Pelodiscus sinensis: one gene and its partners. The main gene of each other region encodes a partner of the protein of the gene in region 3 in a complex. Links are inferred from orthologs where the notes say so. Each region holds a gene or a part of one and is shown on either strand. Other genes may lie near its edges.

Region 1 (10,201 bases), on a different chromosome or scaffold from region 3:
TGGGCTGCACGGTAACAGTGACTGTGACTGTACGAAACGCCCAGCACCACAGCCGCAGAGACGCTCAGACCGCAGGCATGGCTGTGGTCGCGTTAGACCCACACCTACCCACACACTGGCCCGTGAGCCAGGGTTGCTTTGGCCACCGGGGGACACTGTGGCCGGATGACAGCTGCACAGCAGGGCCCTGGGCAGGTAGCAGCCAACGCTGCCACTGCTGAGGGGTTTCCGCTCACGCCTGGACTGCACGCGACGGCAGCAGCTCGCAGCCCCAGGAGGCCTGCACGAGCACAGTGCTGACGGGGGGAGGTTTGCAGGGTGACATATGGTCCCTGTGTTTTGATGGCAGCCGTGCTCATGGTGCCCTGCCTTTCCGGAGCCACTCCATGCTGCTGCTCTGGGGAGCTGCCTCCCCCCAGGGACTCCGGCGGCTGGGCCCGTGCTCGAGTGGCCTCGTTAGCGGGACCCGTGGTGAGACTTCTCCCCGCACTGCTCGTGCCTCCCAGGAGCTGTTGACATGGCAGCCGACAGGCTGTGCCCCCGAAGAGCCTCTGGCTAGTGCCAGGGAAGGCTGGGCTGGCTCCCAGGCCGCGGTGCCTGAGGCACGGACAGCTCCTGGCTACCGTGAAGAGAAACATTCACATCTGCAACCCGCCGTAGGAGAACTAGTCTCGTCCAGGCGACTGCTGGGTCCCTGGGTTTCCCCTGCAGCCTTCCGTGCGGGGAAAGGAGCAGCCCTTCCTGCTCCCCCTCTGCTTCGCCTTGAAATCCCTGGACCCGCTCCGGTTTGCGAGCTGGGAAACCGGCGATTCCAGGCCTAGCGGCTGCAGACCAAGCCAACTGTGACGATGGGCCCTGCCTGCGTTCACCCCCCTACTTCGGAGCATTAGCAAATGCACAAAGGGAGTTAACGTAAATGGGAAACGTAAACAGCCCTAGGTTTGGAGACGGGGGGATTCTCTCCAGGGCCGCTTTGGGACCAAGCGCATCTTTTCCACTCCCCCCTGCCCTCCCCATCACAGTCAGCAGCCTAGTGCCTGCCCACAGGAGCAAGGCAAGTCCCTTTGCAGCTTGGCTGCACTCGCTGGGCCTTGTAATCACTAGGGAGAGGGCTCCGAGGTGGAGATTCCAAGGTCAGAAGGGCCACTGCGAGCTCTTCGACTGACCTCCTGGGTAGCACTGGCCAGAGACCAGCCCTGGAATATTCCCTGTTTGAACTGCAGCAGATCTTACAGACAGACCTCCAGGCCGCGTGTGCGATTTGCCCGTGACGGAGACTCCATCTAACCGGGGATAAATTGTTCCAATGCGGAATGACCCTCGCTGGTAACAATGCACACCCCTGAGGCTTACTTCCAGCCTCCATCTGTCCTGCTCCAACTTCCAGCCTTGGAGCTTGTTAGGCCTTTGCATGGCCAACAAGCCCATTCGTAAACAGCTGTTCCCCACCTGGGTACTTAGAGACTGTGATCAAGTCACCCCATAACTGCCCTTGTGTTAAGCTCAATAGGCTGCGCTGCTGGAGTGGTGGGTGAAGAGCAGGTTTTTCCAACCCCTAATCTTTCTCATGGCTCTTCTTTGGACCCTCTCCAATTATTCAGCCTCCTTGAATCGTGGGCACAGGATTCCAGCTCCTGTCACACCAGGGCCAAACCCAAAAGTAAAATAACCTCTCCGCCCCAATGCAAATTTCCCATGTATGCCCCCAAGGATCACCCTTTAGGCTGGCAGCTCATGTTGACCTGGAAATCTTTTTCAGAGTCGTTGCTTCCTAGAATAGAATCTCCCAGCTGGTAAGCGTGGGCGCCGACTTATTTTTGTTCCTAGATGGATACCTTTATGATTGTGTCTCTTAAAATGCACATTGTTTGCTTGCCTACCCTTGTGATCCAGCTCTCTGCCCTCTGTGTTATCGACCAGGCCCGGACAGCAAATGGTATTAGGGATGATTTAATCATAGAATCACGGAACACTAGAACTGGAAGGGACCTTGAGAGGTCATCGAGTCCAGTCCCCTGCCCTCATGGCAGGACCCAGCACTGTCTAGACCACCCCTGACAGGTGTCTGTCTAAGCTGCTCTTAAATATCTCCAGCAATGGAGATTCCAGAACTTCCCCTGGGCAATTTATTCCAGTGTTTGACCACCCTGACAGGTAGGAAGTTTTTCCTAATGTCCAGTCTAAACCTCCCTGGCTGCAGTTTAAGCCCATTGCTTCTTGTCCTGTCCTCAGAGGCCAAGGAGAACAATTTGTCTCCCTCTTCCTTGAGACACCCTTTTAGATACTTGAAAACCACTATCATGTCTCCTCTCAGTCTTCTCCTTTCCAAACTAAACAAGCCCGATTCTTTCAATCTTTAGTCTTTCCTTCATAGCTCATGTTCTCTAAACCTTTCATCATTCTTGCTGAAACAAAATACAGGACGATATAGCACTTTAAAGACTAACAAGATGGTTTATTAGATGATGAGCTTTCGTGGGCCAGACCCACTTCCTCAGATCAAATTGTGGAAGAAAACTGGCACAACCATATATACCAAAGAGATACAATAAAAAAATGTGACCACATATAAAATTGACAAATCAGATTTTAGAACAGAGGGGGGGTGAGGGAGTCCTGTCTTTTGTTTCAGCAAGACCCGACTAACATGGCTACATCTCTATTACTTTTCATCATTCTTGTTGCTTTTCTCTGGACTTTCTCCTAGGCTATGGCTACACTGGCGCGATCTTGTGCCAGAGATATGCAAATGAGGCTGTGTGGAATATCACCAAGCCTCATTTGCATACCTAATGCGCCACTATTTTTGCAGAAGAGGCTCTTGCACTAGAAGGCTCTGTCTACACTGCCCCTTCTTGTGCAAGAAAAACCCTCTTGCGCAATGCCGCTACATTGATTATTTTCAGGAATAACGGCATTGCGCAAGAGGGTTTTTCTTGTGCAAGAAGGGGCAGTGTAGACAGCTCCTTCTGGCGCAAGAGCCTCTTCTGCAAAAATGGCAGCTCATTAGGTATGCAAATGAGGCTCAGCAATATTCCACGCTTAGCCTCATTTTCATACTTCCAGCGCAACAACCCGCCAGTGTAGACATAGCCCTAATGTTTTCTTCCAGGTCATTAACAAAAGTATTAAATAGTGTAGGGCCAAGAACCAATCCCCACTAGAAACTCCTTTGCTCCATGACGACTCCCTGTGTGTAGTTCCATTATGACACCTGGCCATTAGCCCCATTTTAATCCATGGCTGTGTGCCATGTCCATGCTGTATCATTTTCTAGTTTTAATCATCAAAATGTTGTGCAGTACACAGACAAATGCCTTACCGGAGTCTCATCACAACACGACACCCTTCTCAAATTTGTCATCTCTAAAAAATATCAAGTTAGTTTGACAAGTTCTATGTCCATAAGCCATGTTTATTGGCATTAATCGTATTATCCGCCTTTAATTCTTTGAGTCATGTATTAACTGGTTCATTATCTTCCCCATGAGCAGCCAATATTATCTAGTGTGTCCCATTTACCCTGTTAAATATTGGCACGACATTCCCTTTCTTCCAAAAGCCATGATAAGGGCACGGCTGCTGAGCCAGCTCTTTTAAAACTCTTGGCTGCCTGTTATCCAGATGACCTGATTTAAAATGTCCAGTTTTGGTAGCGGCGGTTTAACATCTCCTGTGTTACTACTCCAGTGGAAAGTGTCAGCATAATCTGGCCTCTGCCATTTGATACTGAGTAGAAATATTATTGATCACTTCTGCCTTGCTGCATTATTATTGATAACTCCCCCTTTCCAGCCAGTAATCTGTGCTAGGAATCCCTTTTGTTCCTGAGAACTTTAAAATCCCCTTTTTATTGCCCTTGCTGGGCACAGATTTCTCCTTTGAGCCAGTCTGTGCCAGTGTGGCATACATTCTGATGAAGCCTTCAGTTCTTGCTTTCCAGCATCTATGTCTCCATTACCTTCTCTCTTCCTCCCCACCCCACACTCCAGCTGATCAGGGTGCAGAGAGCACCTTGAAAACCTGAACCAAGTGAAACTGATGCCTTGAAATCTGCCTAGGGGACAAATCCAGCTCAGAGCTGTGAAGTGCCTTTGGGTCCCTGTGGGCTAGCACCCCTCCCCCCCTAGACACCGAATGTCACCATTGTTGACTACTTCACCAATGGCAAAGGCATGGCAGAAAGGCGAGGAAGGTTGATAACATGAAGATCTGCTTAATCTCCTGTGCATGTCATCTCTGCCACCCTGGGGAAATCAAGGGCAAGAAGCCCAGTGGGATGCGTGGTATCTGCCCAAGACGGGTGTGGGGTCCCGGTGAGGAAGAGCAGAGTGCATGGAGACCAGAGAGCCTGCAGGCAAAACTGTAATTTGAGCATCTGCACAAACTACATGGGCACCATCTCAGGGGCAGAGCTTATTTCAGGGGCAGAGCTTGGAAAGGCACCTCAATTGGCCCGACTGTACCATTCTCCTGACAGACAGGTCTGGCTCATCCTAAGAATGTTTTCCTAAATTGGCTAGCGGCTGTAGCAAAACTAGGAGGACTAGTGTGCCAATGGCCTTTTCAGCCTCATGTTCCACAGCTCTGCACCTGGGCCTATTGAATGCCTGCCTATGCTGTTCTTGATATTGCTACCACCTGCGTTAGCAGCCCGGGGACACTTTAAAGCAGCCACTGTCCTTACAATCGGAATGGCTTGTATCAGGCATCTCCATTTGGCCCAGACAGACACAAATATTTCCATCACACCAGACAAGAATAATCAGTTAATTAACACAGCCAATGCACAAACACACCAGAGCACGGTCTTATAACCTGGGCTCTCTCCTCCTGCAGAGTTATGAAGGCTGTGCCAGATTCTCAGCTGCTGTGAATTAGCATTAGCTCCAGTGATGTCGATTCCAGCTGAGATCCAGATCCTCGGAGTAATTTGATGCACGATTACCCCCAATGGGCTTGTTCAGCTACTTTTGTGCGTCAGGCCAGGGGGAGGGGAGAGAGAGAGAAGTCAATGCTTGCAGAGAGACACAGGCTGGGTTTTGAACACTGAACAGGTCATTTTCCCTGAAACTTAAAAATAGGTCTACAGGACACCCCCCTGTTGGAACACCTACATCGCTCAGCCATGTGAAACCCCCCCTGTCCTGCCAGCCCTGAGCAGCAGTTTTACTGACTCCACCGGTGTAGCAGTGCTACCTGCACATGACGACTGCTGCCACCCACGGTTGCGACTGATTCTGTGGACTGAAGCTCTCCCATTGCACAACAGCAGCTCACTAAAGTGCTACAGACACACATGAAAAAACCAGCCCTGTAGTCACTGAGGGCTGAGTCCGGCTTGGGGGCCTCTGGCCCCTGTCCGCTCAGTGCTGCTAAAGAGAAGAGCAGCTCCCTGCAATGAGGCTGGAGGGCTGTTGTCAAAACGGCCCGTGGCCTGAAAACCACGTGTGGATTTCTAAGGGCAGCATGCACATTGCCAGCAGCCAGTGCCTCGCTCAGCCATGCATCTGGCTGCTCCCATAGCCCAACCCCAGGGGGACTGGATCAGAGAAGGTCATGCTTGGAGACACGTGCCCAGCTCTAACCACTAGACCCCACTCCCCACCTGCAGGGGAGGGGGGACAAGCACAGAGCTGGCCTCCCCCACTCTAACCACTACACCCCCCTCCCGCAGGGGAAGGCAGCAAGCACAGAACCCAGGCCTCATTACTCTAACCACTAGACCCCACTCCCCACCTGCAGGGGGGCCAAGCACAGACCTAGGCTCCCCCCTCACTCTAACCACTAGACCCTCCCCCCTCCCGCAGGGGGAGGCAGCAAGCACAGAACCCAGGCCTCATTACTCTAACCACTAGACCCCACTCCCCACCTGGGGGGGGGGGGGGGGGGGGGGGGGGGGGGGGGGCGCGAGCACCAGCCCCTCGTGCCGGGCCAGGCGCCGCGCAGCAGCCCGAGCACGCGGCGCGCCCTTTAACAGCCTTAGGGAGCGTCTGCAAAGAGCGCGGGGCCGGGAGGGCGCAGCGGGCGCGGCGGGGTGGGCGGGGCGGCCGGCCCCGCCCTTTGGCGACGCCCCCTGGCCCCGGGCGGCGGGCGGCTATAAAAGCCTGCGGGGCGCCGCGCCGCCCGTTGCTGCTGGTGCGAGCCCGACCCGCTGCGCCCACCGGCCCCATGGCCTTCCCCCTGGTGAGTGCGCCGGGCGGGGCGGGGCCGGCGGCACGTGTCGGGCGCTGCGGGACCGCGTGCTGGCCCGGGCGGGGGCGGGGCGCGAGGCGCCTCGTGACGGGGGGGGCGCTGCCGGACCCGCCGCGCGGGGCTCGCGCTCGGCCGCGCGCCTCCCTCCGACCCCCCCCTCGCGCGCGGCCGGCAGGTGCTGGCGGGCGGGGCCGCGGGACGCTCGGCCCCTTTCAGGCGGGTCCCCGCAGCGCCCGCCGGCCGGGCCGCCCCTCACGCGGCTTCGCACGTTCCCGAGCCGCCGGCTCCGCGCCCCGGCCGCCAGGTGAGGGGGGGCCCCGGCGAGCGTCCGGGCTGCTGCCCTGAGGCGGGGGGGGGGCAGCGCGTGTCGGTCCCGCCCTGGCCCCGGGGTGGGCGGGCCCCCCCTTGGCACAGCCCCCCCTTTCCGCTGGGCCCCCGCGCCAGGCCGCTCTGCATGGCCATTGGGGCAGCTGCCCCGGGGCCCCTAAAGCCGCGTTGCGGGGGGGCCTGGCAGCAGCTCCCCGCCCTGGGCCCCTGCACGTCTGGGTCTTGCTGCCTGGCTCCTGGCTGGGAGGCACTAGCTCAGCCTTGCACTGGTGCGCAGGGTCCCGGTGTCCCGCCTGTGCCCGTGCCAGCGATGGCGTGTGGGGCAGATAGAGGCTGCTCATCTTCCCGGCTCTTGTCTCCAGCACGGAGTTTGTGCAGGTGGGCCAAAAGCAGTTGAAGGCTGAGTTGTGATTGGCTGCTTAACTGGCAGTGGGGTAGGGAAGTGGCTAGGTGGCATGAAAATGTCCCCTACTTGTGACCTTCCTTAGGTGCTGCTTCAGTAAACTGCCCATTTCTGATCCCCACGCTACTGATGAGGCATGAAATGCCTAACAACCTTGAGAATTAAATTATCATTTCGTGTCTGGTTTAACCCCCTCGTTGTGATGAATGGGGCTCTTCAGACCTCTGGTGGCTATTGTTGCAGTCTGCCTGAAGAACTGTGCAGATGTTTCTACAGCTGTTATACTTGCTTTTTGATGCTTTGCTTGCAACCATCACATCTAGCCATGCCCAGCAACAGCTAGGGAGCAGCTTCAGTGATGTGCCAGTGTGCTGTACTGCTGCGAACTGAATCCTAACTTGTCGGCGCTCCTCTGCTTTGGTGAATGGTGCTGCAGAGGAACCACAGGTGTCCGTGATCCCCAGCACTTGTACCTATGCTGCACACAGGAACTTGCCAGCCATTTTTCAGCTACCTGATTGCTGCCTAGTTGTCTGTGGTGATGCAATATAGCACTCTAATTATAGCACTGCTTATTTGTATTAGATAAGGTGGATAACTTAAGGCATTAGATGACACTGGGAGTTTTGTCTGAAGTGGCTGTAATGCCATAATGCAGCGTTTAACAATAGCAGAGGGTGTTATCTTTCCCTAGAGAAGAACACTGAGTTAGTAGTGATAGTCCATAATGGGATGGGTCAGATGCCTGCTGCAGCAGCTGGAGAGACTCTCAGACTAGGACAAATAAATGTCTTTTTACATCCCAACTAGCTACCCTCTCTTGGGGAGGTGGATTGCCTGCCCTATGCCAATAGATGGGTTTAGGCTGGCGCAGCTGTAATGCTTTAGGCGCAAACAAGCCCCTGGCTGTGAAGGAATATCTTCCATTTCTGTAGGAAGTACCAGCACTACGGTGCACAGTGCTGTAGCTGTCCTGCTGTCGTGTCTGCTGGGTAGTTAGGGCTGGAAGCGCTGGAGGGGAGCTTCAGAGGCCTCAACTTGACTTGGTTCCAGTGGGTGTCCGCTCTTAGAACTACTTCCTCTTTGCTACCACCGCTGGGGGCTACCCTACCAAATCAGGCCGATATAGCAGTGTTGCACAGGGGTGTCTTTGAAACTGTCGTCCTTGAGATGTGGTCAAGATGACCTGGTGTAGACCTTGCTGGGCTGAAAAGTGTTCTTCTATCAACCAGTTGCTGCCTCTGAGGGAACTTTAAGGCTGTAATAAGCATCTATGCTGCAGTGAAATAGCTACTACCGTGGCATTTCCTGAGCCAGTGGTTCTCAACTGGGGGTATGCAGAGATCTTTCAGGAGGTAGTTTAATAAAGAGAAATGCAAAGTGCTCCACTTAGGAAGGAACAATCAGTTCCATACATACAAGATGGGAAGCGACAGTTTAGGAAGGAGCATGGCGGAAAGGGATCTAGGGGTCATAGTGGACCACAAGTTGAATATGAGTCAACAGTGTGGTGCTGCTGCAAAAAAAGCAAATATGATTCTAGGTTGTATCAACAGGTGTGTTGTAAGCAAAACTCGTGAAGTCATTCTGCTGCTCTATTCTGCACTAGTTAGGCCTCAGCTGGAGTACTGTGTCCAGTTCTGGGCGCCACATTTCAAGAAAGATGTGGAGAAATTGGAAAGGGTACAGAGAAGAGCGACAAGAATGATTAAAGGTCTAGAGAACATGACCTATGAAGCCAGGCTTCATGAACTGGGCTTGTTTAGTTTGGAAAAAAGAAGATTAAGGGGGGACATGATAGCGGTTTTCAAATATCTAAAAGGGTGTCACAAGGAGGAAGGAGAAAATTTGTTCCTCTTGGTTTCTGAGGACAGGACAAGGAGTAATGGGCTTAAAGTGCAGCAAGGGAGGTTTAAATTGGACATTAGGAAAAAATTCCTAACTGTCAGGGTGGTCAAATATTGGAATAAATTGCCAAGGGAGGTGGTGGAATCTCCCTCTCTGGAGATATTTAAGAACAGGTTAGATAGACATCTGTCAGGGATGGTGTAGACAGAGCTTGGTCCTGCCTTGAGGGCGGGGGGCTAGATTCGATGACCTCTCGAGGTCCCTTCCAGTCCTATGATTCTATTAAATGTTTAGCTATATGCCTCATTTTACCTCAGGCTACATAAAAAGCATGGGCAAGGTAAGTGCAAACTTGAATTTCATACAGCCAGTGACTTGTTTATATTGATTTGTATGCTGTGATATTTTTGTCTCGCTTTTAAAAGTAAGCAGCTCTTACGTGAGGTGAGACTTGGGGTATACAAGACAAATCAGACTCCTGAAAGGGGACCAATAATTTGGAAAGGTCAAGACACTGCCCTGAGGTATCCTGGCCATGATCTCTCCTGTGGCTGCTTTCAACTTCAGCTTCTTCCTAGATTTCTCTTAAATTAGTAACATTGGACAAATTTGTTTCCTTTTCCTGATCTGTTCTGCTCCTCATCACAACTTACCAAACCTGTTTCCTTGCATCTGGCTCTCTTTGAAGCCACCTAGCACCTCCTTGCACTTCCTTTCAAAGTGGCCTGTAGTCTAAGGGTTCTTCCTTAGGTATCTTAGATACCTGTATCAAGGAAATCCTAGGTCTCAAAAATCCTGAGGAATGTTAAATGCCAATTATTGTAAGTTTCCATCAAACAAAACATGCAGATTTGTTATGCCCAACTAGCTGTGAGGTTGGATTGAACCTGGCTTAGAGGCGGTCTTCCAGAGCTGCTGTGGATAGGCAGTTCTAGTCTCCCCCAATCAGTAATGGTCAGAGGGGTTCAGCATCTTGCTAGCTGTCTACCGTGGCTTCTTGGCTAACAGACAAGATTGAACTGTGCAATAAGTGCATCCTGATGCTGACAGAAGTCTCTTCTGGCCTATCTCTGCTGTCCTAGGAAATGGCATTGAGCACTTGGTTAGAGCAACTGAAAATGGGTGTCAAATGAAAGAGCAAGTTTGTGCTTGGGTGTGAATGTAGAATTTCAAGCCTGCTCAATCCCATAACAGGTATGGGAATTGTTCATAGAGATCAAGGGTGGAGTCTGGTCTTCATGGAATAATTGAACTTGGTTAGTATTTACTATCCTGCTTAACTAGTAGGGAAGTTCCTTCCACTATCCTGCTCTTCAGCCACTTTTTATTGCAGTCCCTTTTCTCTCTCCACCCTCCTGTGTGCCTCTTTGCCCTCTAGTCTGTTGCTGCCTTGCAGCAATTCCCAGTCCTTGGTCTCCAGGGCTTCTG
Region 2 (11,197 bases), on a different chromosome or scaffold from region 3:
AGCCTAGGGAAAAGCTATGCATTTGAAAGAAGTTTCAAAGGTTTGTTTACACCAGTCCTGGGCAAAATATGGCCCGTTAAGCCACCAGATCCGGCCTGTGGACACTGTGGGGAGCCCCAGGCAGACTCCCTGCTTGCTGTACCCCAGCTGCACGCTGCTCAGAAAAGCAGCTGCCAGGAGTTTCCCTTTTAAAACTGTGATAGAGATGTAGCCGTGTTAGTCTGGGGTAGCTGAAACAAAATGCAGGACAATGTAGCACTTTAAAGACTAACATGATGGTTTATTAGATGATGAGCTTTCGTGGGCCAGACCCACTTCCTCAGATCAAATAGTGGAAGAAAGTACTCACAACCATATATACCAAAGGATACAATAAAAAAAAAAAAAGAACAAATATGAAAAGGACAAATCACATTGCAGAACAGGAGGGGGATGCAGGGTGGGGGGGGGGGGGAGGAAGGAAGGTATGTCCTTTTCATATTTGTTCATTTTTTTTATGGTGTCCTTTGGTATCCTGTGACTATTTTCTTCCACTATTTGATCTGAGGAAGTGGGTCTGGCCCACGAAAGCTCATCATCTAATAAACCATCTTGTTAGTCTTTAAAGTGCTACATTGTCCTGCATTTTCCTTTTAAAACTGTGAGCCTCAATGGGAGGGGGGAAGGCTTCTGGTGCTGTCCCCGCCTCCAGCACAATCCCGTTGGCCAGTTTTTGGCCAGAAACTGGCCAATGGGAACTGCCTGTTTGAATAACAGGCTGCACATGAAGCACCATGCTCCCTTTCCCAGCTCATAGTTATTCACATATGCACATGGCCCTGCAGCCTGTGTGAGGGCAGGGCAGGGCAGGCTTCCTTCCTGCCTGATAAATGTGATGGCCAGGAGTCACCAAGGTAAGTCTCGTGCCAGAGCCTGTCTCTGGCACCCCAGCCTCTCCCTTTTCCAACCCTCTGCCCCCAACTCTTGCCCCCCTACTCCACATACCGAAACCCTCTGCCCTCCTCTTTTATCCATATACGCAAGCTCTCAGTGGTCAGCCCCTTATTTGTCCACTCAGCCACTTCTCTGAATTAAAGTTACTTTAAATCATCTAATGAGTATTGGCTAGTCCAGTGCCCCAGGTCACAACTACCTCCTTCACCCAAACTCCCTCCCAGACCGCACTCTCCCTCCTGTACCCCAATCCCTTATCCCAAGCTCCTCTCTGCACCCAACCTCCATCCCAGACTCCGCACTTTCATTAATATAATCAAAGAGTGTGGCCTTCAACCACTTTCCAAAATTTTGGAGTGGCCCCCAATCAAAAATTATTGCCCACCTCTGGTTTACAGTCAACTACAGTCATGTTCTGCCATGAGGTATTATCTGTCATGTGTTCCGTAAATTATGTACTATTTGATTTTTTTGCCATGAGTATCTATTCTGTTGTGCCTGCTGGAAGTTATAAACACTGCCGGGCCCAGAGCTTTGTCTGCCACTATGAATTCTGTGGTGCTTGCAGTACACTTATAAATATGACTGGGAGTTTTTCAGAGGCTATGAAATTTCTCAAAAGATAAGTTCATTGAGAGGAAAAATTAGTGCACAAAATCAAAGTGCAAACACACATACGATGGCTTTGGCACCTCAGGAAAAAGAGTGGCCTGGTCCCTCTATCAGACTAGGGGAAAACAGGAAGCAGGAGAGGATAGAGTGTAGGTGAGGCCACACTTTGTTGTTCAGGGAGGCTCAGCCCACCATGGCCTGTGTCTGAAGAGAATGTTGCCTATGTCTGAAGTTGTCTGAAGATGCTAGAGGGGTCTGTGATGGACTCCCCCACTCCCATGCTTTATGAACTGGACTCATGGACAGGAATATACATATCTCAAAAGTGTTTTGAGCAAATCATTTTGTGTAACCCATCAATCTTTATGTCACGATCCACTGGTTCTCTTTATCTTACTCTGTTGTATGTATCATTTGTGTGTGTAAAATTAGACACAGGGAGTGGGGAATAATTGGTGAGTTTCAAATGTATGAATGAGAGACATGGAAGGGGTTACCCTTAACTGTTAAACTATCTCTTTTGTCCTTCAGCCTGAGCAGTGGTTGGTAGGGAGGGGCCTCAATCCTTTAACAAAAAGAATAGGAAAGGAGAGGCCTTGGTCTTTTTTGCTGAGCTGCACCTGGAGGAAGGAGCCGGAGACCCCAGGGTGGGGAAGAGAGCCCTGGTTTAGAGTGGCAGCTGGAAAAGAGGTTTTAGGGTGAGTTTAAGTTTGCACTGAGGTTTCAGTGGAGAATTAGCCAAGCGGTTTTGTTTCTTTTGATTTGTAACCTACTTTGCTCTGCCTACTTTCACTTATTACTACTTAAATCCTACTGCTTCAACTTAATAAAACCATTTTTATTTTCTCTCAAACCCAGTATAAGCGATTGTTACCGGGGGGGAGGGGGTCAACCAGTGTGTGCATTCCCCCTTTCATTGCTAAAGGGGGCTGACCTAATTCTTTGGGGTTTGATCCCGTCTGGGGAGTGATATCCCAGGTGGCTGGGCCCTAACCTGGATTCTCCTTGGACCTGAAGTGGTTCAGTGTCTGTACTGCTTCTCGGTGGGGCAGGGACCTCAGCTCGGGGCCTTGGCTGGGGGAGTCCAGCGGAGCTGGCCCAGCAGGACCTGGTGGTGAGGAGCCCCAGAGAGCAGGAAGGCGAGTGGCAGTGGCTGTGTCAGCACCCCAGAAGGCACCCCTGAGGGGTTATCTGTGACTACACCTCATCACAGGATCACTGCCAAGTATGGCATGCAGCTCATTGTAAAAACAGCAGGTGTGCTGGTAGCAACAAACTTGCTCTCCTTCACCTTGTGGTATGCCATGCAAAGTTCTTTTGCTTTCATGCAGCACTGCTGATGAACCCTGTTATTCCCCTTTGCCAGCACCCCTTGTGCAATCTATTTGCACAAGTCTATATTTCTATTGTTCTTCTCTCCACAGTGCCAGAAGACCTAACATTTCTTCCCTGCTTCAGGCAGAACTGCATCTTGTACCACTGCCATTGTTATGGCATTATAGCGATGCTAATACAGTTTCCATCTGGTAGATATACCTTTAACATTTAGAGCAAACTACCTGTGTCACTCAGGGATTTGGAAAATTCACACCACCAGTTGCTATAGTTAAGCTGACCCAATGCAAGTGTAGATGTAACTAGGTCAGTGGAAGAATCCTTTTGTGAATCCATACAATCACGTCACCTTGGTGAAGACCTGCCCTTAGTCTTTGAGAAGGAACATGCCAAATTAACTGCGTCTAAAGCAGGGGTGGGCAAAAGGGCCTCCACAGGCTGGATCCGGTCTGCGGAGGCCCTGCTGCTCCCTCGCCCCCAGGTGAATTAGGGTCTTGGGGTGGGGGAGCACCTGAAGCCTTCTCTGCTCTGTCCCTGCCCTGCAAGCAGCACATGGCGATTCAAAGCGCTGCACGCTGCTCGCAGGGCAGAAGCAGAGCAGAGAAGCCTTTGTGTGCTCCCCCCCCTCCGCCCCCAGGCCTTAATTGGCTTGGGTGCGGGGGGAGAGGGGGTGCATGAAGCCTCCTCCCACCCTGCCAGCAGCATGTGGTGCTTTGAAGCGCTGCACGCTGCTCGCGGTGGAGGGAGGAGGCTTCTTGCGCTCCCTGGCCCCCAGGCCAATCAGGGCCTGGGGAACCGTGTGAAGCTTCCTTTCCCCTGCCCTGGCCCTAACAGGAGCCCACGGCACCTTGCAGGGTGAGAGGAGGCTTACCTGCGCTCCCTTGCCCCCAGGCCCTGATTGGCCTCGGGGTGGGGCAGCATGCCAAGCCTCTTCCAGGACATGGGAGCATAGTGGGAAGGGGGGGCAAAGGGGCTCCCTGACCCCCCAGACCAATTTTGGTCTGGGGGTGGGTAGACCCAGCCCTTCCTGTTTAAGCTCTGCCCCTTCTGGGGGCCCGGGGCTACTTCAAAAATTTTTGAAGTGGCCCCTGGGCAAAAATTATTGCCCACACCTGGGCTGTGTCTAGACTGGCCAGTTTTTCCGAAAAATCAGCCGCTTTTCCGGAAAAACTTGCCAGCTGTCTACACTGGCCGCTTGAATTTCCGCAAAAGCACTGACTTCCTACTGTAAGAAATCAGTGTTTTCTGCGGAAATACTATGCTACTCCCGTTCGGGCAAAAGTCCCTTTTGCGCAAAACTTTTGCACAAAAGGGCCAGTGTAGACAGCTGAGATTTGTTTTGTGCAAAAAAGCCCCAATCATGAAAATGGCGATCGGGGCTTTTTTGCGCAAAAGCTCATCTAGATTGGCCACGGACGCTTTTCTGCAAAAAAGTGCTTTTGTGGAAAAGTGTCCGTGCCAATCCAGACGCTCTTTTCTAAAAATGCTTTTAACGAAAAACTTTTCCGTTAAAAGCATTTCAGGAAAAGCATGCCAGTCTAGATGTAGCCCTGGTGTAGAGCTTCAGAGGAATAGCCTAGTTAGTCTGTAATTGGAAAAACTTAAAAAACAACAAATAGCCTAGTAGCACCATAAAGACTAATAAACCATAGATGGTATCATGCGCTTTCGTGGGCACAACCCACTTCCTCAGATGAACAACTTCTAGTATGGCTCTGCATGACATTCAAGCAGTTGCATCACGTATAGAAGTTTGTGACACTGACATTGCTTTGTAAAAGAGCTGGTTCTTTACCTCAAATAGTAGAGACTCTTTATATCTCTACATACCAAGTTCATCCTCACATATGACCCATACAGGGATGTTTCTACATTTTAGCTATGCTGTTTGTAATCATTAGATCACAATCTGCTCCCAGTGCCAGGAATGGAAACAGTAACAGCATGCTTTCCTTCCACCCCCAAGTCAGTTCCTCCCAGAGCTGAAATAGCAGACTCTGTGGGGGATCTATAGGTGTGAATTTAAATGCCAAACACATGATTAGAGATTAAATGCCAAACACATCATTAGGGCAAATTTGTTTCCTGTCCAAATATATTTTTGAACTTTCAAGTTTTCCCATTCTGCACTGGGACAAAACTGAAATTTTGATGTATAAAAATATACGTTAGACAGAGAACCCAAAGTATTCACTAGCATAATGGTTATGGCCCTCATCTCATAAAACCAAGGTTGACATCTCTGATTTATGGATTTACCTGAGATATCCAAGATCTGAGTGCAGGTGCCTTAATCTCCTGGCTATTAGCTATTCAGGGGTGGGTCTGTTTCAGTCTCTTCTGTTTGAGCTGTTCCAGTTTGTACAAGCAATTACATATTGAGGATGTAGCCAGAGCAATTGACTTTATAGCCTCATGGTGAGGGTACTCCCATAAGTGTAGGAGAATTAGGTTCCCTCCACTGGTTCAATGAATAGTAGTAGTCACTGTGGATTATCGTACTATGATCTCACTTTGGTTGTTTGATTGGCATGCTGGTATTGGTGGCTTATGCTATACAGGAGCGGGCCTTGACTTTAATATTTAGCTTTTGTAGTTGGTTAATGAGAGCTCTCTTTAAGAGCAGGGTGTACCAGACTTTGAGAGCAGTCTGTGGGAGACTTTGCCTGTTTGTCCAGCGTCAGACCCTCCCTGTGTATGCAAGCTTACAAAAGGTCAAAATTTAAATTAATACATTTATCTTTCAAGACAGAAAGGTTCATTCATGAAGGCATTGCATTTGGGTTTATGGGGGGAGAGACCATACACATTCAGGCATTATTAATTAGTTGTAGAGCCTTTCACCTGTAGCTTCCTAATGTAAATCTTGTCCAACATACATTATATTATTTAATGTAATTTAATCCAGATTCAGAAAGGGGTGCACTCCCTTCTGGATACCAAGAATAGCCACGATTATCCTACTCAGAGGGTTAACCGTGTTAGTCGTTTTTCAAGATTATCATATTTAATGACAAATACAGGGATGTTAAACCTCACGTTGTGGGGGCTGTACCAGTCTTAAATGGAGAGTAGGATGAGGAAGAGGGCAGATTATTGCACTCTGCCAAGAGTGGGAGATTTACACCTCCAGCATCTGGCTGCGTGCAGCAGCAGAGACGAGATGGATCGGGCATTGCAATGCCCGCGCTCCGAGGTGGTCCCTAGCTGAGTGGAGTTGGCTGAATCCTGATTCCCTCTCCTGCAGGGCGCTTGTATGTCCCTGTGGGACCGCCCGTGGGTGATGCATTTGCACGCTCGCCACCTCGCGGGGCGCTGGATGGGACGCTGGAGGGCTGCCTGCGGAGGGGCCATGTAGCTGCCAGCGTGGTGGGCTCCCGGAGCGAGGGCAGGGGCCACGAGGATGGGCACTTGCCACAGGTCTGTGAGGTGCTGTGGCCCTGGTACCACAGGTGTGTGTGGAGGGGGGGGGGGGGGAGATTGTAAAGCAGATGAGAGCCCCCCCCCACTGCACTGAATCTGGGGGGGTGCTTGGGGGAGGCTTTTAACCCGTGCATGGTCCCTCATTTAACCCTTGGCCGGGTCATGCTGCAGGGGGAGGCGTGTGGGATGGGAGGTGGTTGGACTAGTGACGGGGAAGGACGGGACTATTTCTCGCTGCTGGAATCCGCTGCCGCGCGGAAGGCGACTACTTTCTTAAGCGAACTCAGCGGCCGCTTGGCGGAAGGATCGGCGCTCTCCCCCCTGCCTTTTTTTTTTTTTTTTTTTTTTATTCGCTCGCCTTCCTGCGCCACCTCCCCCGGCGGGGAGCGACACAAGTGTCGGCCAATCAGCGAGTGCCGTGGCCCTCGCGCGGATCACGCTCTCCGTCGCGAGGACTCCACCACGGCGTTTCTCGCCGATTGGGTGGCAGGCGCGCCAATCGCTTGGCTGGGCGGGACGTAGCCTTCGTTTAGCCATTCGCCGCCCGCTCTCCTCACAACTGACCCAAGGCAGAGCCAATCAGGGGGGGGCTTGCGGCGTGCGCCGCCTCGCCTTCGTTAACCAATGGCGGGCGGAGTGGGCGGCGGCAAAGAGGAAGCCAGCGAGAGGGAGAGGAGGAGGAGGTGGTAGCGGCGTAGCTAGGCGAAGAGGTTGGTCTCTGGGCGGCTTTGGCATCGGCCGGGCCGGGGTGGCCAGTCCCGGCGGGTGCTGCCTGTGTGTGGGGGGAGGGATACGCGCCGGCCTAGGCAGCGCCCCCCCCCCCTTTGTTGTGGGAGGCGGTGGCTGTGGGGGAGGCTCGCGTGAGGGGGGGCGAGGTTTGGGGCGGAGGCTCAGGCCGGCGGGGAGTGGGGGGTTGGTGCTGGGCCCGAGTCTCTCTCGCCTCTTCCCTAGTGGGGGTGAGCGGCCGGGTCAGGGCTGCTCACCCTCCCGGCTTGGTCGGGAGTCTCCCGGAATCAGCACCAGTCTCCCGGGGACGGGGGGGAAAGCGACCCTGGAGGCTGTGATGGGGCGTTCCACGGCAGTGGCGTGACATCCCCTTTTTGGGGGTGCGGGGGGGGGGGTCGCCTGGAATAGCTTCAGTGGGGTTGGCAGTCCTAGGCCGGGCCCTGCTCTCAGGATATAAATAGGAGGGGTGGCTGGGTGGGCCCGTGGCAGCTTCTCTCTGGGGACCGATGGTGTGGGGTTAGAGGTGGGCGTATTACTACTTCGCTGCCCACCCCACCCTCCTTTGGAAAAACTCGATCTTAGACTTTCCCGAAGAGCTTCACACAGATTAAAAGTGGAAAACTACTGCCTGAGAGAGAGCCAGTATTGTCTAAAATTGTGAGCTGAAAATAGGGGGAGGGAAAGTGATTCAGCCTTAACTTCAGTGAGTGTTCCTAGGGGGTTAACCCTCCCTCACCTGTTGGCAGCCAGTGACTGCTCATCCTCTTCATTCTCCTGTAACTGAACTGTATGGATGTAAGCAAGCATCATACCCAGTGGGTGCTATAATTGATGCACTGTAATGACTGCAAATAGCGATTGTTTTAGCAATTTTGCAAAACTTTCACTTGTAGTGCTGTGTGTAGCATATGTGTGAGGAAAAACAGCTGAGTGAATTCATTAGTTCATAGTCTGTAGGACGGTTGTTTGAGATCCAGTTTCAAATGTAGAATACCTTGTTTTCAGTTCATGTTGGCTTGTGAAGCAGGAGAGTACCATGGTTGTAGCTTTTAGAAAAGAGTTTTTAACAGTTAAGAGCTGCTTTTAACTGCAGCCAAATTCTGTTTCTGTTCTGTGGATGACTGGAAACTCTTAAACTCCCCTCAGTGAGTGCTGAGATGTACATATCACTCATGCAATTTATTTCAGATTATAGTAAGCAGTTCCTGAGTATACAAATAATGATGATATATTTTGTATCAAAAAGCTTACAGTAAGATAAGCCAGTTAGATTTTTGCATTTGTTTAGTGTATCTTTAAAATCTTAAACTTCTGCCTTCTTAACAAAATAGGCTGCAGTGAGGACAGCTTGATTATACTGCCAACTGTTTAAAATTGACAGACTGTTAATTGTGGGGTGGTTATAGTAGCAAATTTAGCAAAATGCACGTTTTTTTGCTTTGCATGTGTAAAGTAAAAATGAGAAACTTTCCATCCAATAAGATTCCAGTTTGTAATGATTTGTAGGCTTTCCTTCACATATTTTTGTTTCTCCTCTCAAGTTGTATTTAGCTCTTTAGCTTTTCAGTGTATCTTAACATGTTACTTTCACAAAATTATCTGCCTTTAAGTATCAAGGGAGGTAAAAAAATCAGTTGGAGACATTACTCTGCTTATCTTAAACTGTGAAGCTTGCTATCTTGGTGTTAACTTCATCATGAGGTTACCTCCAGTGGCTCTGCAATTTAAAAATGCAGTGGGGTCAGGGGATAGGCTGCCTGGCTCTTACTGCCTTTTAAAGTTGCAGTGGGGTTTGGTCCTAGTGAGAGCCTGGACTGAGCGGGGCTGCCTTTTCCTGGCTGGCTTCTACTTAATTCGGCAGGCAACCCTGCTTAGTCGCTGCTAGTCCAGGATCTGGGAGTAACCCGCTGCGGATGTCAATGGTTAACTGGTGGACATCACACTTATTGGGCGATGCTTATCAGTTACCAGTTAACCAGTGGCCCAGCAAGGCCAGAGCAGCTCCTGCCTGTCCAGAGCAGCCCGTTTAAGTGATTAACCAGTTAAATGGTATGTTTAACTGATTAAATGCTGTTTTACATCCCTACTTGGAAGTGCAGATCAAAAATGGTGTGCTGAAATTTAAACTGAGTTGTCTTGTCCTCTCTATCAAGAATTAAAGATGTTGTATGTCAAATTTATAGTAGGAATAATCAATTCTAGCAAAGTTTATAAGGTCATAGGGTAATTGAAAAGCTTACATTTGTAAGAGTTCAGTTCTGTCTAAATTGACGTCTTTCTTTTCTTTCTAACTCCAACCTCCCCAACACCCGCTTTGTTGATTTAATTTGCTCATACAAAGAGAATTTCCAAAGTAAAGGCCCTGCTGGATCTTTTTCAATCCTCTTATGTCAGCTCGATCTTTCCAAAGTGCTGAGCACCTGTAGTTACCATTGAATTTAATTGGAGCTTACAAATGTTCAGTATTGCTGAAAGTTTGAGAGATGTAAACTTTTCTCATCTCTTATCAAAAGAAAGGCTTGAACAAACCTTGCAACATGTCTGAAGGGTGATGAGTTTGAGCGCTGTACCAGAGGGAGAAGAGATTTCCAAATTCTTTCTAAAAACAGTGCAGGATAAAACTTGAGTTATTGTACAAATATTTTAGGTTTTCAGATGTATTAACACTGTCTTAATGGGCTGTATATGTAAATTCTCTAATTGAAAGCATCCATTTATAGGACTGAGTTGCTAAGTGAGTTGTAAATTCTGCTTTTCTGATTGGATGTAATGACTTGTCAACTGTGCTTAGAGGCAAACAATACCTAAGCTTACTTTGCCAAAATATTTGTAACTGTTAATTTGTTAAACAGAATTGCTGCAGGTCATGTGATGGGATTAGCGTGTGGTGGTGGGTTTTTTTTTTTCAGTAGTACCAAGAGTACAGACAGTCCTGTGTTCAGTACTCCTTGCTAGAAGAAACTGAGTAAGCATAGGTAGTAATTCTGAAAGTTGAAAAGCGCTGCTTTCTTTGACACATCCCTGGAAAAAGTACCCTACATAAGCTAAGGTTTTATTCCTTTTTGATGTTTTACTATGGTTTATTGATAACTGACAGTAACACTGATTATACTGTGTCCTACAACAGCTGGCAGTTAAGGGATTTTTTTTCTTGCTATCTGAACAGGTTCAGCTTAACCTGGAACATAACACTCTAATGGCTGAAGACTTAAGTTTAGGGTAGTGTGTGTTGGTGGGGAGGACTTTTTCTCTTTTATAAGATAAATCATAAACTTCATTACTTTCTCTGTATCCTGTAACTAGATGTTAGAACGTGTCTTGCATGTTCACTTGATTACTCCTGAAATTTTTCATTGGTTACACTCGAGCATGTAGGCATGACTATGCTTTCACATCTGTAATAGCTGCTTGCGTTTCTAATATATTTAGAATGAAGATATCAAGTGTTACAAGAATTTGGCTCATAGAATGGGTGATAAGGAAAACAAGCTGTCTTGATTTTCAAAGAAACAGTAACAAGACAGGGATGTCTTGAACCCCACATAGAGTGGAGAGTTTAACTCAGGGATGGGCAATAATTTTTGGTGGGGACCACTCCAAGACTTTGGTAAATGGTTAAGGACTGCATTTTTCTGTGGAGAGGGTGTGGCGTATAGGATGGAGGCTGGGTACAGAAGGGCACAGGGAGTAAGGGACAGGGGTGCAGTGGATAGTGTGGGGTCTGAAAGGCTGTTTGGGTGAAGGAGGGGATTGTGACCTGGTGCAGGGTCTGGTAGGGTGCTTGGGTGCAAGAGAGGATTCTGGCCTGGGGGAGGGGTGTAGGATGGGCTACTGCATCTGGGAAGGAGTTGTGACTTGGTGCACAGGGCTTGGATGGTCACCTGGGGGAGGGTGTTGAAGTGTGGGAGGGACAGGGATTGCCAGGGGCAGGCTCTGGCTGGGAGGCACTTAGCTAAGCATCTTCCAACCTGCAGCACCCCCAAGGCATGCCAGGCTCACTGACTGTTGCACCCTCAGGCAGCTTGAAAATACAGGCTGTTCCCCAATCCAGAGTTGAGAGCTACCTGGATAGAAGAGGCTTATGCTGCACCCTCTTCTCTTCCCCTGTTCCCCCCCCCCCCAAGACGCGCCCCCCTCCCCGCGCCTCCAGGCCAATCTCTCATCTCCG
Region 3 (10,473 bases):
ATGGCCTTCAGCTACAGTCCACACCCGTCCCACCACATATACTGCAACGTAGCTGCATTTGAGGTAATGAAGGCTGGGACACTGCATCCCAAGGACCTGCAGCAGCGAAGGGGAAATGGTGATGGCATGTAGCTGCAGACTTCCAGTATGTATTCATTTAAGATTTCCTTTTAGGTTCTGAATTTAATTCTCAGACGTTTCACATTCTGTACCTTCCCTGTTCTATTGTTCAGTGTTCTTGGGAGCTCCACTGATAAATCTTTCACTTAAATTCTCAAAGGAAGGGCAGCAGCCTTATAAAATAAAAGTGTACATAACTACAAATTATTCCAGAAACGCTAGTTAGTTTTCCTTCATACTCTCACCAGCAGTGACATTCAATTCAGAATTTTTGTTTGATTCTCTGTCTTTTTACATAATTTTTTACTGTTCCTCTAACACTTCATTGTTACCTGTTCTCTTCATTCTCTCTGAAGTACCTGCCATTGTTCATTGTCAGAAGACAAGATACTGAGCTAGATGGATCTTTGGTCTGACCTAGTATGGTGGTTCTAACTTCAATATGTGTGAAATTACTATACAAGTCACATTGTAACTGCACGTTGGCAGTGTCATCCTTCTCCCCGCAGAACCTGTGATTGGCATCTGTTAAAGCATTGCCTCTATGATTTTCTATTGTAACTGATAACAGCAAGACTCTGGATACTATCCTAATTATTCCATTACTATTGACTATACTTTCTTTTGTTCTTGTATTACACTTTTATTCTTGACTAACTTTCTTTTTGACACATTTGTGCAGGTACACAATCTTCAAAGACCATGTGTCACTGGGAGACTGTATCCTTGAACATTAGACTTGTGTGTGTAAACTGCAGCTTTTGGGGAAAGCCTTTGTCTAATTAAAATAACGGTTGTGTTCTTTATCTGCCATATGTTTCAGTTTGTCTGGTTATAAATCAGTCTGTCCGTTCAAGAGCTAGGAGCACCAGTTTGGTATATAGCTTCCTCTTATCATAGCTCAAACCAAGGTCAGGGTTTGGTTGTGCCAGGAAATAGGGTTGTGCCAGGGATGGGATTGTCTCTCATAAAACCATACAAAAGAGAGACTGAATTCACCTGCCTGGTGAAGGGGCTGGCTGGAGGTACATGCGTACACAGGCCCAGCCCCTCCCTACCCTGTGTCAAGGACTTTACTAGTCTTGAGCCTCCCATCTTCCAGGCACCCTTTGGTAAGGGGAGGGGGGCTGAAGATCTTCCCCAATTCGTAAGGGAGCATTGTGCACTTTCTCTTGCTGCCTGGGAAGCACAGGAGGCAGAAGAACTTGGTTTTCCAAAGATACCAAAAATTAATAAAGGACCTGAGCAATTCAGGGTAGTTCTTCTAGTCACTTAAAAGATCCACAACCTATGAAGTGGAGCGATGGACATATTATAAATACATAGCTAAACAGAGACACTTCCTAATCTGACGTAGTTGCTTGTTATAAACCAAAGGTCTCATTTGTCTCTTTGGGTACTAGTGACTGATGGTATTGGTAGGCTACCATAAGATAACTGGTGGACCTCTGGGAAAAAGTCCCTTACTAAATTGAGTGGGTAGCCTGTGACATGGGACTCATTTGCTGAGTTATGGTATTGAAGCTTCCAGTATTGCATATGACCCATGTTCCCTTGCATGACACTAGCAATTTATTTTATCAATTTGCGATAGAAACACACAAAGTGGGAAGGAGAATTATGTGAGAATTTGTCTAATGTATCAAAGAATAAACTTGCTGTTGTAATTTATTTTGAATTATTGACCAGGGAGAAACCTAATGTCACCTACCGTTTGAGCATTTCCTGTGGAATTCCCCTTAACTCATTCCTTTCAGATGAAATCCATGATGGCATGAACCTGGAGTTATATTATCAGTAGTCTTGAGTCTAGCTGCAGTTACAAATGGCAGGCATCACTTTTCTACATTTTTTTTCTGCTATAAAACTTGTCTATAAACTTTATTTCATGTAAGGTAAAAATTAGAAGCTCAAGTTGTGCATTCAGTTTTATCAGATATCTTCAGTTTTGATGGCTATAAAAGTGGCTGCAAACTTGTAAGAAGGCTGTTTTATTTTTAAAAAATGTTTGCAATAAAAGTTTCCTGATAACTTTTGTATCCTGCTCCTGGATTTGTCAGAAGAAATCTCTTCTTTAACTGACATAGCAGCCCAAATTAATGCAGCTGTTGGAAAGCAGTGGGCTTTAGACCCCATTTAACTTTCTGGAATCAGAATAATACTGTAGCACTCTCCATCCATCTGCTCAGAGGGACTCTCTTCTAGTTAGAGTAAGCAGCACATTTGCTTCGGGTTTGTATCTGTCATATTCAAGTTAGATTTTTTTTTTAATTTTTAAAAGAAATTTTGCATAGTACTGTGGTTAAGCTATGATCTGGGCAGGAAAATACGACCAACTCTCCCATCACACACTTGTTTCTAAGAGTGAAAGAAGAGCAATTGATTAAAAAAAATGCTTCAACAAGTAATAGGAATAGCAGTAATAGCCTTCCGAATACCTTCATTCTTAACCCATGCAGTCTCCGGTTTCCATGGAAAGTCTGTCTGATACAACTTCTCTCAAAGCTGTTATATTTATTCCCTTGTCACCCTTTTCCAGGCTCCTTTTGCACTAAACCCACCCTGTAACCTGTACTGGGATAAGGAACCTGATACGTTTTCCTGCACAACCTGAACTAATCTCTTGAATTCCTGTCTCATTGTTTGTAGCTGCTCCATCTGCTGGATGGACTTGCATTTTTGTGACATCCTTTCTCAGACACCTGGTGCTTCACTTTCTTCTATTTTGCCTGTAGTGACATCTTGCCTTTTCTACTAACTTTTAGTTATTCATCTCTTTGAGCCTTTTTTATTTGTGCATCAATAAAGTTCCTTCCTGCTTCTCTGTTCTAGAAGCCCTGACAAAATGAAACAAGAGCAATCAGATCACCCAGCAGTTTACAAAACAAAAAACAGAAGCCAAGCTAATCACCAAATGTGTAACCTGTATCCCATGATGCTTTTTATCCTCAACGTAAGACATTTACTAGGACTAGAAATTATGTTTAACATTTGGAAATATGCTTCCTAGTGTATTTTGGGGAAAACATTTACCTGCTAGTAGTAATATGTGATACCACTTCTAACATCAAACTGCAAGATCTCATCTCTAGTTTGTACAACAAGCTATTATTTGAGAGTTAAATGTGATATGAAATTGCACATATAATAGGGAGAGCAAAAAGTCACCTGGATGCAAAACTTCTGATGTGGCCTCACCAATGCGGAATAAAGGGGAATGATCACTTCCCTAGATCTGCTGGCAATGTTCCTACTAATGAACCCAATATGCCATTTGCCTTCTTGGCAACAAGAGTGCGCTGTTGATGCATCTAAGCTTCTTGTCCACTGCAGTCCCCAGGTCCTTTTCTGCAGTATTGCTGCTTAGCCCATCTGTCCCCAGCTGGTATCATTGCATTGGAATTTCTATCTTGAGTGTGGGACTCTACACTTGTCCTTGTTGACTCTTATCAGATTTCTTTTGGCCCAATCCTCCAATTTGTCTGGGCGACTCTGGACTGTCTCCCTGCCTTCTAGCATATCTACCTCTCCCCACCATCTTAGTGTTATCCGTGAACTTGCTGAGGGTGCAATCCATCCCCTCGTCCAGATCATTAATGGCCTTAGGACTATCCCTTGGGGCACTCTGCTTGATACTGGCTGCCAATTAGATGTTGAGCCTAACAATCTAGCCATATTTCTATCCACAATATAGTCCATTCATCCGAGCTGTATTTTTTTAACCTTCTGGCAAGATGAGGCCATATCAAAAGCATTGCTAATGTCAAAGTATATCAGTCCACCACTTTCCTCATATCTGCAGAACCAGTTATCTCATCATAGAAGGCAATTAGTCAGGCTTGGTCTGACAGGAATTCAGATTGACTGTTACAGATCACCTTCCTCTCCCAAGTTTTTCAAAATGGATTCCTTGAGCACCTGCACCATGATTTTCCCAGGGACTGAATTGAGGCTTACCAGTCTGTAGTTCCTTGGATTCTCCTCCGCCTCTTTAAAAGATGGGCACTGCATTTGCCTTTTTTGGTCATCTGGGACTTCCCCCAGTAGCCGTAAGTTTTCAGGGATAATGGCCACTCCCTCAGATGCATTAGATACTGCCCCATAGACTGAGCATATGATTTGTTTTAAATGGTCCTTATCTTGTTCTTTTACTACTGAAGGCTGCCCCTTCCTCCCCATTACTGTACTGCTCAGTGCAGCAGTCTGTGAGCTGACCTTGTCTGTGAGGACCAAGGAAAATAAAGCATTGAGTACTTCAGCTTTTTCTACATCATCTATCACTAAGTTGTCTTCCTCATTCATCAAGGATTCCTACACTTTCTCTGACTCCTTTCGTGCTGCTAACAACCTGTAGAGACATTTTTTCAGGGAAAGATATAGCTAGGTGCCAATTTAGTTTGTAACTGGAAAAACTTAAACAACAAATAGTTTTGCAGCAGTTTAGAGACTAACAAAACATGTAGATGGTGGTATGATAAGAACAGTTTAACCAGTTTTTAAAATGATACGTTAGCGGAAGCTGCTTATAAGAACTTGTAGTTAGTGTTCCTAGTGAAATAGACGGAATGTTGCTGAGTTTCAGGAGGTTGACTGCAAACTGGGCACCAGCAAGATCTCCATTTACAATGAAGTTTTGAGACCAAAATGATTTAACTAATGTCTTGATAGAGATTAATTTTCCTAATATCCCTGTGAACCAGTTACCACAGAAGAGAGAGATGGCCAGTGGAAGAGTCTTAATAGAACCCAGGATTTAAGAATTATTGTTGTGCCATAATTTGTAAACTGCCCCAAGAAGGCTGTACAATTCAGGGAGCTTGGATATTAATCTATGTAGAAGTGCTGGGCTGCTAACTCTTGTGATTCATTACTAATTTCACAATATTTTCTTTAAAGCCCCAGCTGCTGGAGCTCTGTGATTGTGACCCTCAATTGTCAGTAAGGAAAAATATGTCTAGCCCTCCTGCTTGCAGAGTGCAAGACTAAAACAGCAAAACATAAAACTTCAAAAAAATTAAATCTCCTTTTGCAGGTGCTTGACACATGAATACTTAGGATTGGTATTACAGAGGGATTTTGTGAGCATCAACGGAAGTTGGGGAAAGCCCTACACATTTTACAAGGGCAATACGCTCTGTACAATGAGCAGCAGCAGCTGATGATGCAAGGGTAGGCATCAGCTGGCCCTTGAGCTCCGGCAGAGAGAGAGGGGTCAGGGGCTTGCCCTGCTGCAAGTGTGCTGTGGCTCCCACAAGCAGCAGCATATCCCCCCTTCGGCTTTTACTTAGATGGCTCCATGTGCCGCTCTGGCCCAAGTACTGCCCCTACAGCTCCTGTTTGCTGGGAATATGACCACCGGAAGCTGTGGAGGCCATGCCTGCTGAGCAGGAAAAGTGCAGAACCGCCTGCCAGCACCTCCATGTAGGAGCTGGGTCGGGGTGAGGGCTGCTGCTTGAGACAATTGTCACATGGGGCCTACGCCCCCAATCTCTGGGGCCCCACCGCAGGGCTGCACCCCCCAGCCGACTCTCATGCCCAGCCCCACTTCGCCAGCCAGCTTCCCCTCCCTGCTGTGGTTCGGCGGCTAGCGAGTCCCTTGCACAGGGCCCGGGGGCTGCTCCAGGAGCCCCGTGCCAGGGACGGGGGGGGGGGGCATGTCCAGAACCCCCCCCCATTCCTGGGTGTGGCGGACACGCGGCCAGGGAGGCCCCACGGCAGCGGGCCGGGACATGCTGGTCTCAGGTCTCCCTTGTCCCGCCTCGGCTTCCGTCCCCTCCCTCCAGATTCACTTCCGGGATCATTGCGGCCTTTCGCCCGTAGCCAATCACGGATCTTCTGCGCCAATGAGACCGGGGCCAGGGCGGGGCCGGGACCGCCTCTCTCTCTCTCAGCCAATGGCAGCCGGCGGGGGCGGGGTCTCGGCCTTCCCCGCGCCAATGGGGCGCCCTGGCGCCAGGCAGGCGGGGCGCGGCCGGGCGGGCTCGCGGCGCAGGGAAGATGGCGGAGGAGGAGAAGCTGCCCTCGGGCTGGGAGAAGCGCATGAGCCGCAGCTCCGGTACGGGGGGGCGTGAGGGGCGGGCGGGGGCAGGCCAGGTCAGCTATGGGAGTGGGGGGGGCCGCGGCCGGGGGGGGTGAAGGGTCTGAGGGGGGGCAGGGCTCTGGGGGCGGGGCCGGGGGGCTGAAGGGTCTGAGGGGGGGCAGGGCTCTGGGGGCGGGGCCGGGGGGGTGAAGGGTCTGAGGGGGGGGCAGGGCTCTGGGGGCGGGGCCGGGGGGGGCTGAAGGCTCTGGGGTTGGGGGCGGGGCCGGGGGGGGGTGAAGGGTCTGAGGGAGGGGGCAGGGCTCTGGGGGCGGGGCCGGGGGGGCTGAAGGCTCTGGGGTTGGGGGCGGGGCCGGGGGGGGGTGAAGGGTCTGAGGGAGGGGGCAGGGCTCTGGGGGCGGGGCTGGGGGGGGCTCAGGGCTCTGGGGGCGGGGCTGGGGGGGGCTGAGGGCTCTGGGGGTGGGGGCGGGGCTGGGGGGGCTGAAGGCTCTGGGGGCGGGGGCAGGGCACTGGGGGCGGGGGCGGGGGGGCTGAAGGCTCTGGGGTTGGGGCGGGGGCGGGGGCGGGGGGTGGGGCTGGGGGGGCTGAAGGCTCTGGGGGCGGGGGCAGGGCGGCGGGGGCGGGGGGGCTGAAGGCTCTGGGGTTGGGGGCAGGGCTCTGGGGGTGGGGGTGGGGGGGCTGAAGGCTCTGGGGGTGGGGGCAGGGCTCTGGGGGCGGGGCCGGAGGGGGCTGAAGGCTCTGGGGATGGGGGCAGGGCACTGGGGGTGGGGGCGGGGGGGTTGAAGGCTCTGGGGGTGGGGGCAGGGCTCTGGGGGCGAGGTCGGGGGGCTGAAGGCTCTGGGGGTGGGGGCAGGGCACTGGGGGCGGGGCTGGGGGCGCTGAAGGCTCTGGGGGTGGGGGCAGGGCTCTGGGGGCGGGGCCGGGGGGCTGAAGGCTCTGGGGGTGGGGGCAGGGCACTGGGGGCGGGGCCGGGGGGGCTGAAGGCTCTGGGGTTGGGGGCAGGGCTATGGGGGCGGGGCCAGGGGGGGGGTTGAAGGCTCTGGGGATGGGGGTAGGGCTCTGGGGGCGGGGCTGAGGGGGGCCTGAAGGATCTGGGGGCGGGGCTGGGGGGCTGAAGGCTCTGGGGTTGGGGAAGGCTGTGGGGGTGGACCCGGGGGGGGGGTTGAAGGCTCTGGGGTTGGGGGCAGGACTCTGGGGTGGGAGTTGGGGTGGGGTCTGCGGGGTTGAAGGCTCTGGGGTTCGGGGCGGGGCCTGGGGAATTAAAGGCTCTGGGGTTGGGGGTTGAAGGATTTGGGGGCGGTGCCTGGGAGGTTGAAGGCTTTAGGGCTTGGGGTGAGGCCGGGGGGTTAAAGGCTCTGCGGTTGGGGGCAGGGCTCTGGGGTTGGCGCTGGAACCTGTGGGATTGAAGACTCTGGGATTCGGGGCGGGGCTGGGGGGGTTAAAGGCTCTGGACTCCGGGGCAGGGCTCGGGGGGGGGGGGGGGCGGTTTGAAGGCTCGGGTTGAGGGGTGGGGCTGGGAGTTGAAGGCTTTGGGGTTGGGTGTCATGTCTATGGGGGTGGGGTGAGGTCTGGGGTCTTGAAGGCACTGGGTCTGGGGTGGGGGGGCAGGCTTGTGGGCAGCTGGTGCTGCAGGCACTGGAGGGCAGAGAGTTTGGGCCTGCAGTGAATATAGCTTGGAGGGGTGTGCCTTGGAGATCCACTTCCCCAGCTGGGTGTCTACTGGGCTGTATTTACTTGGTCCCCATGGGTTGGTCTGGGGCAGGTTGTTCTGTTCCATGGAGTTGCTCTGGGGACTCAGATGTTCCCTTGAGAAGGGGATTGGGGAGGGTTCCCTGAATAGAGGCAGAGTGAAAGTGGCTTTATTCATGATGGGGTGGGAGGGAATTTAGTGAGGCAGCCTGGGGTTCTCACCATGTCCTTTGCTTGGGGATAAGCTTTCCCTGTTATATAGGACCTCCTGGCTAGGGTCCATGTTTGTTCACCTTATGGTGGATGGGTAAATCTGGAATGAAGCCCACGGGAGGTGTCTGTGTGGGGAGAGGAAGTGGATGCAGGTCCCAGTGCAGATGGGGGGGGCTGTTCTGATATGGGGTAAGGTCAAGTCTGGCTCAATGCCTTGGTACCCTACACGTTCAGGGTTAGAGGCAAATCATTGCACCTGTCTTCACTTCATTCCTTGTAGTTTTGCCAGGACACTGACTGTTCCAAGGTAGTTATAATTGGACGTTTGATCCTTGTGTCCTTGGGCTGTTGCCTTCTCTGCCATCCTCTATGTCTGAGAGTCAACACTTCTCTTCAGAGCATTTTGCTGGTTTGCTGGTTGAAATCCTTTGGGATAAAAGGGGTTAGAGAGAGGGAGGGAGTCACTCTGTCTGTCTGGTGAGAATTCCTGCAAGTGCAGGAATGAGCTGCTGCCAGCTTGGAGGGAAGGAGCAGAAAGCATCTCTAGGTTACAGTATTAGTTGGCTTGGCTTCACAGTGGTGTGGCCCCCGTCCTCGTGATTGCACGCTTCAGGGGAATTTTGCTGCTTATTTTAAAGAGTGGCTGCTTTTGGTCGAGGTATGTTTTTTTGTTAGCAACAGCAACCACAGACACATCCAGGATCAATGCTCCATTGTTTGTGCAGTGCCCACCACACTATAGTAAGACATGCCGTCTTGCTCAACTTTCTAATTACAAGATCATACAATTGTACGACTGGAAGGGGCATTTAGAATTCATTTAGTCTGGCCCCCTGGACTCCTGGCAGGACTAAGTATGATCTTGACCATCCCTGACTGGTGTTTGTATTACCTGCTCTTTAGAACTTCCAATGAGGTAAATTTCACAGTGTCTCTGTGTAATGTAAACCACCCTGTCAAGGAAGTTTTGCCTAATGGCCAACCTTAACTGTCCTTGCTGCAATTTAAGCCCATTGCTTTCTGTCCTATCCTTAGAGTAAAAGAGAGAATTTTTTTAACTCCATGTTGTGATAATCTTTTATGTACTTGAAAACTGTTATGTCCCCAGATAAACTCAATTTTTTCCCATCTTTCCTCATAGGTCATGTGTTTTAGATCTTTATTTTTATTGCTCTTCTCTGGACTTTCTCCAGTTTGTCTATATCTTTCCTGAAATCCATTAATTATGATGCATTTGAAAGGTGTGAGTCACCAATATTTAGGCTTTTCATCTTTTCTGCTTTACCTTCACATATATGCTGTTGTAAAGTGAAACATAATCATCTTCTTTGCCGAAAGCCCAGCCCTGTTCACCTTCTCTGCAGGGATAATCGAGGCAGTGTTCCTCTCTGTCAATGTACTGTATTGTTTCAGAAGGTGTATTGGTGTTAGGCGATGCTGGAAAGCCTCAGACATGCTTTCTGCTTTCATCAGACTAATTTGTACTTTACAAATATGAACCACCCAGTTCAGCTTTCCTGGGAAGGTTTAGGGACCTGCCTCTGTTAAAATCAGTGTGAGTTTTGACATGGTCTTCAGTGACAACTGGATCAGGTCTGAAGTAACTTGCCAGAGCTGGGTTAGAATGGATGAGCTGTTGTGCTCCCATCACCTTTCTCTTTATTTCTTATTAGGAAAGTTTGTTAAAGATGAGAATCTTAACAGATGGGATTGACAGCTGCAGTGCCGCAGCAACCTCTTATTATGGGATATTGAGTGTTTCCAGTTCCTGCAGTGATTCTGCTTTGAGCTGACATCCACATTTTTTCACTCACAGAAATCAAGAGTCTTGTATATCTGTTGAGATGAGCTAGAAGCCAGTATCACGGGTCTGAAAGGAACTTCTAACATTTAATCCTCTCCTCCCTTTTATTTGCAGGCCGTGTGTACTACTTCAACCACATTACAAATGCAAGCCAGTGGGAGCGCCCCAGCGGTGGTGGGAGGAATGGCCAAGGAGAGCCGGCTAAAGTGCGCTGTTCACACCTCTTGGTGAAGCACAACCAATCCAGAAGACCCTCATCATGGAGGCAGGAAAAGATCACGCGGAGCAAAGATGAGGCACTGGAGCTTATAAATGGCAAGTAAAAGCAAGAGAGAGGTTGATAGTAGTAAAGGGGAAAGTCATGTTAAGGCCTAAACCAAACACCTGAGAGAGAAATGACTTTTTAGTTGCATGAAATCTCTAAGGCAAAGTTGTTGAGCCAAGTGCTCAAACATGGACTTCAGTGTAGCATAGCCACCTGGGGAGTCAATTTTTCTGATTAAATGACTTAAGAACAGGATCCCTCCCTTCCCCATCCCCTCTTTGCATTTTTGTAATGTCATGTCAGAAAGGTGTTTGTATTTTTTGTAAATGTGTATATTATTTTTAT

Evidence for each region.
Region 1: the proteins of PIN1 (region 3) and CPEB1 are in contact, whole or in part, in an NMR structure (PDB 2N1O), measured with the Homo sapiens proteins. The link is inferred for Pelodiscus sinensis from reciprocal best matches to the Homo sapiens genes PIN1 and CPEB1. Residues at the interface, in NP_006212.1 of Homo sapiens: Arg17, Tyr23, Ser32, Gln33, Trp34, Glu35; in NP_001352172.1 of Homo sapiens: Arg206, Ile207, Ser208, Pro209, Pro210, Leu211, Pro212, Phe213.
Region 2: the proteins of PIN1 (region 3) and SMAD2 are in contact, whole or in part, in an NMR structure (PDB 2LB3), measured with the Homo sapiens proteins. The link is inferred for Pelodiscus sinensis from reciprocal best matches to the Homo sapiens genes PIN1 and SMAD2. Residues at the interface, in NP_006212.1 of Homo sapiens: Glu12, Arg14, Met15, Ser16, Arg17, Ser18, Tyr23, Phe25, Trp34; in NP_001003652.1 of Homo sapiens: Pro218, Glu219, Thr220, Pro221, Pro222, Gly224.

What each region holds. Positions count from the first base shown.
Region 1 is NC_134724.1:36,952,938-36,963,138, reverse strand, and holds the start of CPEB1 (cytoplasmic polyadenylation element-binding protein 1), read left to right. Parts: upstream 1-6,057; 5' UTR 6,058-6,171; coding exon 6,172-6,186; intron 6,187-6,366; exon of another isoform or gene 6,367-6,499; intron 6,500-10,201.
Region 2 is NC_134716.1:117,158,557-117,169,753, forward strand, and holds the start of SMAD2 (mothers against decapentaplegic homolog 2), read left to right. Parts: upstream 1-6,946; 5' UTR 6,947-7,013; intron 7,014-11,197. UniProt on the Homo sapiens protein: Receptor-regulated SMAD (R-SMAD) that is an intracellular signal transducer and transcriptional modulator activated by TGF-beta (transforming growth factor) and activin type 1 receptor kinases.
Region 3 is NC_134729.1:14,658,054-14,668,526, forward strand, and holds the start of PIN1 (peptidyl-prolyl cis-trans isomerase NIMA-interacting 1), read left to right. Parts: upstream 1-6,016; 5' UTR 6,017-6,117; coding exon 6,118-6,175; intron 6,176-9,977; coding exon 9,978-10,178; intron 10,179-10,473. Other genes in the region: UBL5 (ubiquitin-like protein 5), read left to right, coding at 803-840, 1,878-1,921. UniProt on the Homo sapiens protein: Peptidyl-prolyl cis/trans isomerase (PPIase) that binds to and isomerizes specific phosphorylated Ser/Thr-Pro (pSer/Thr-Pro) motifs.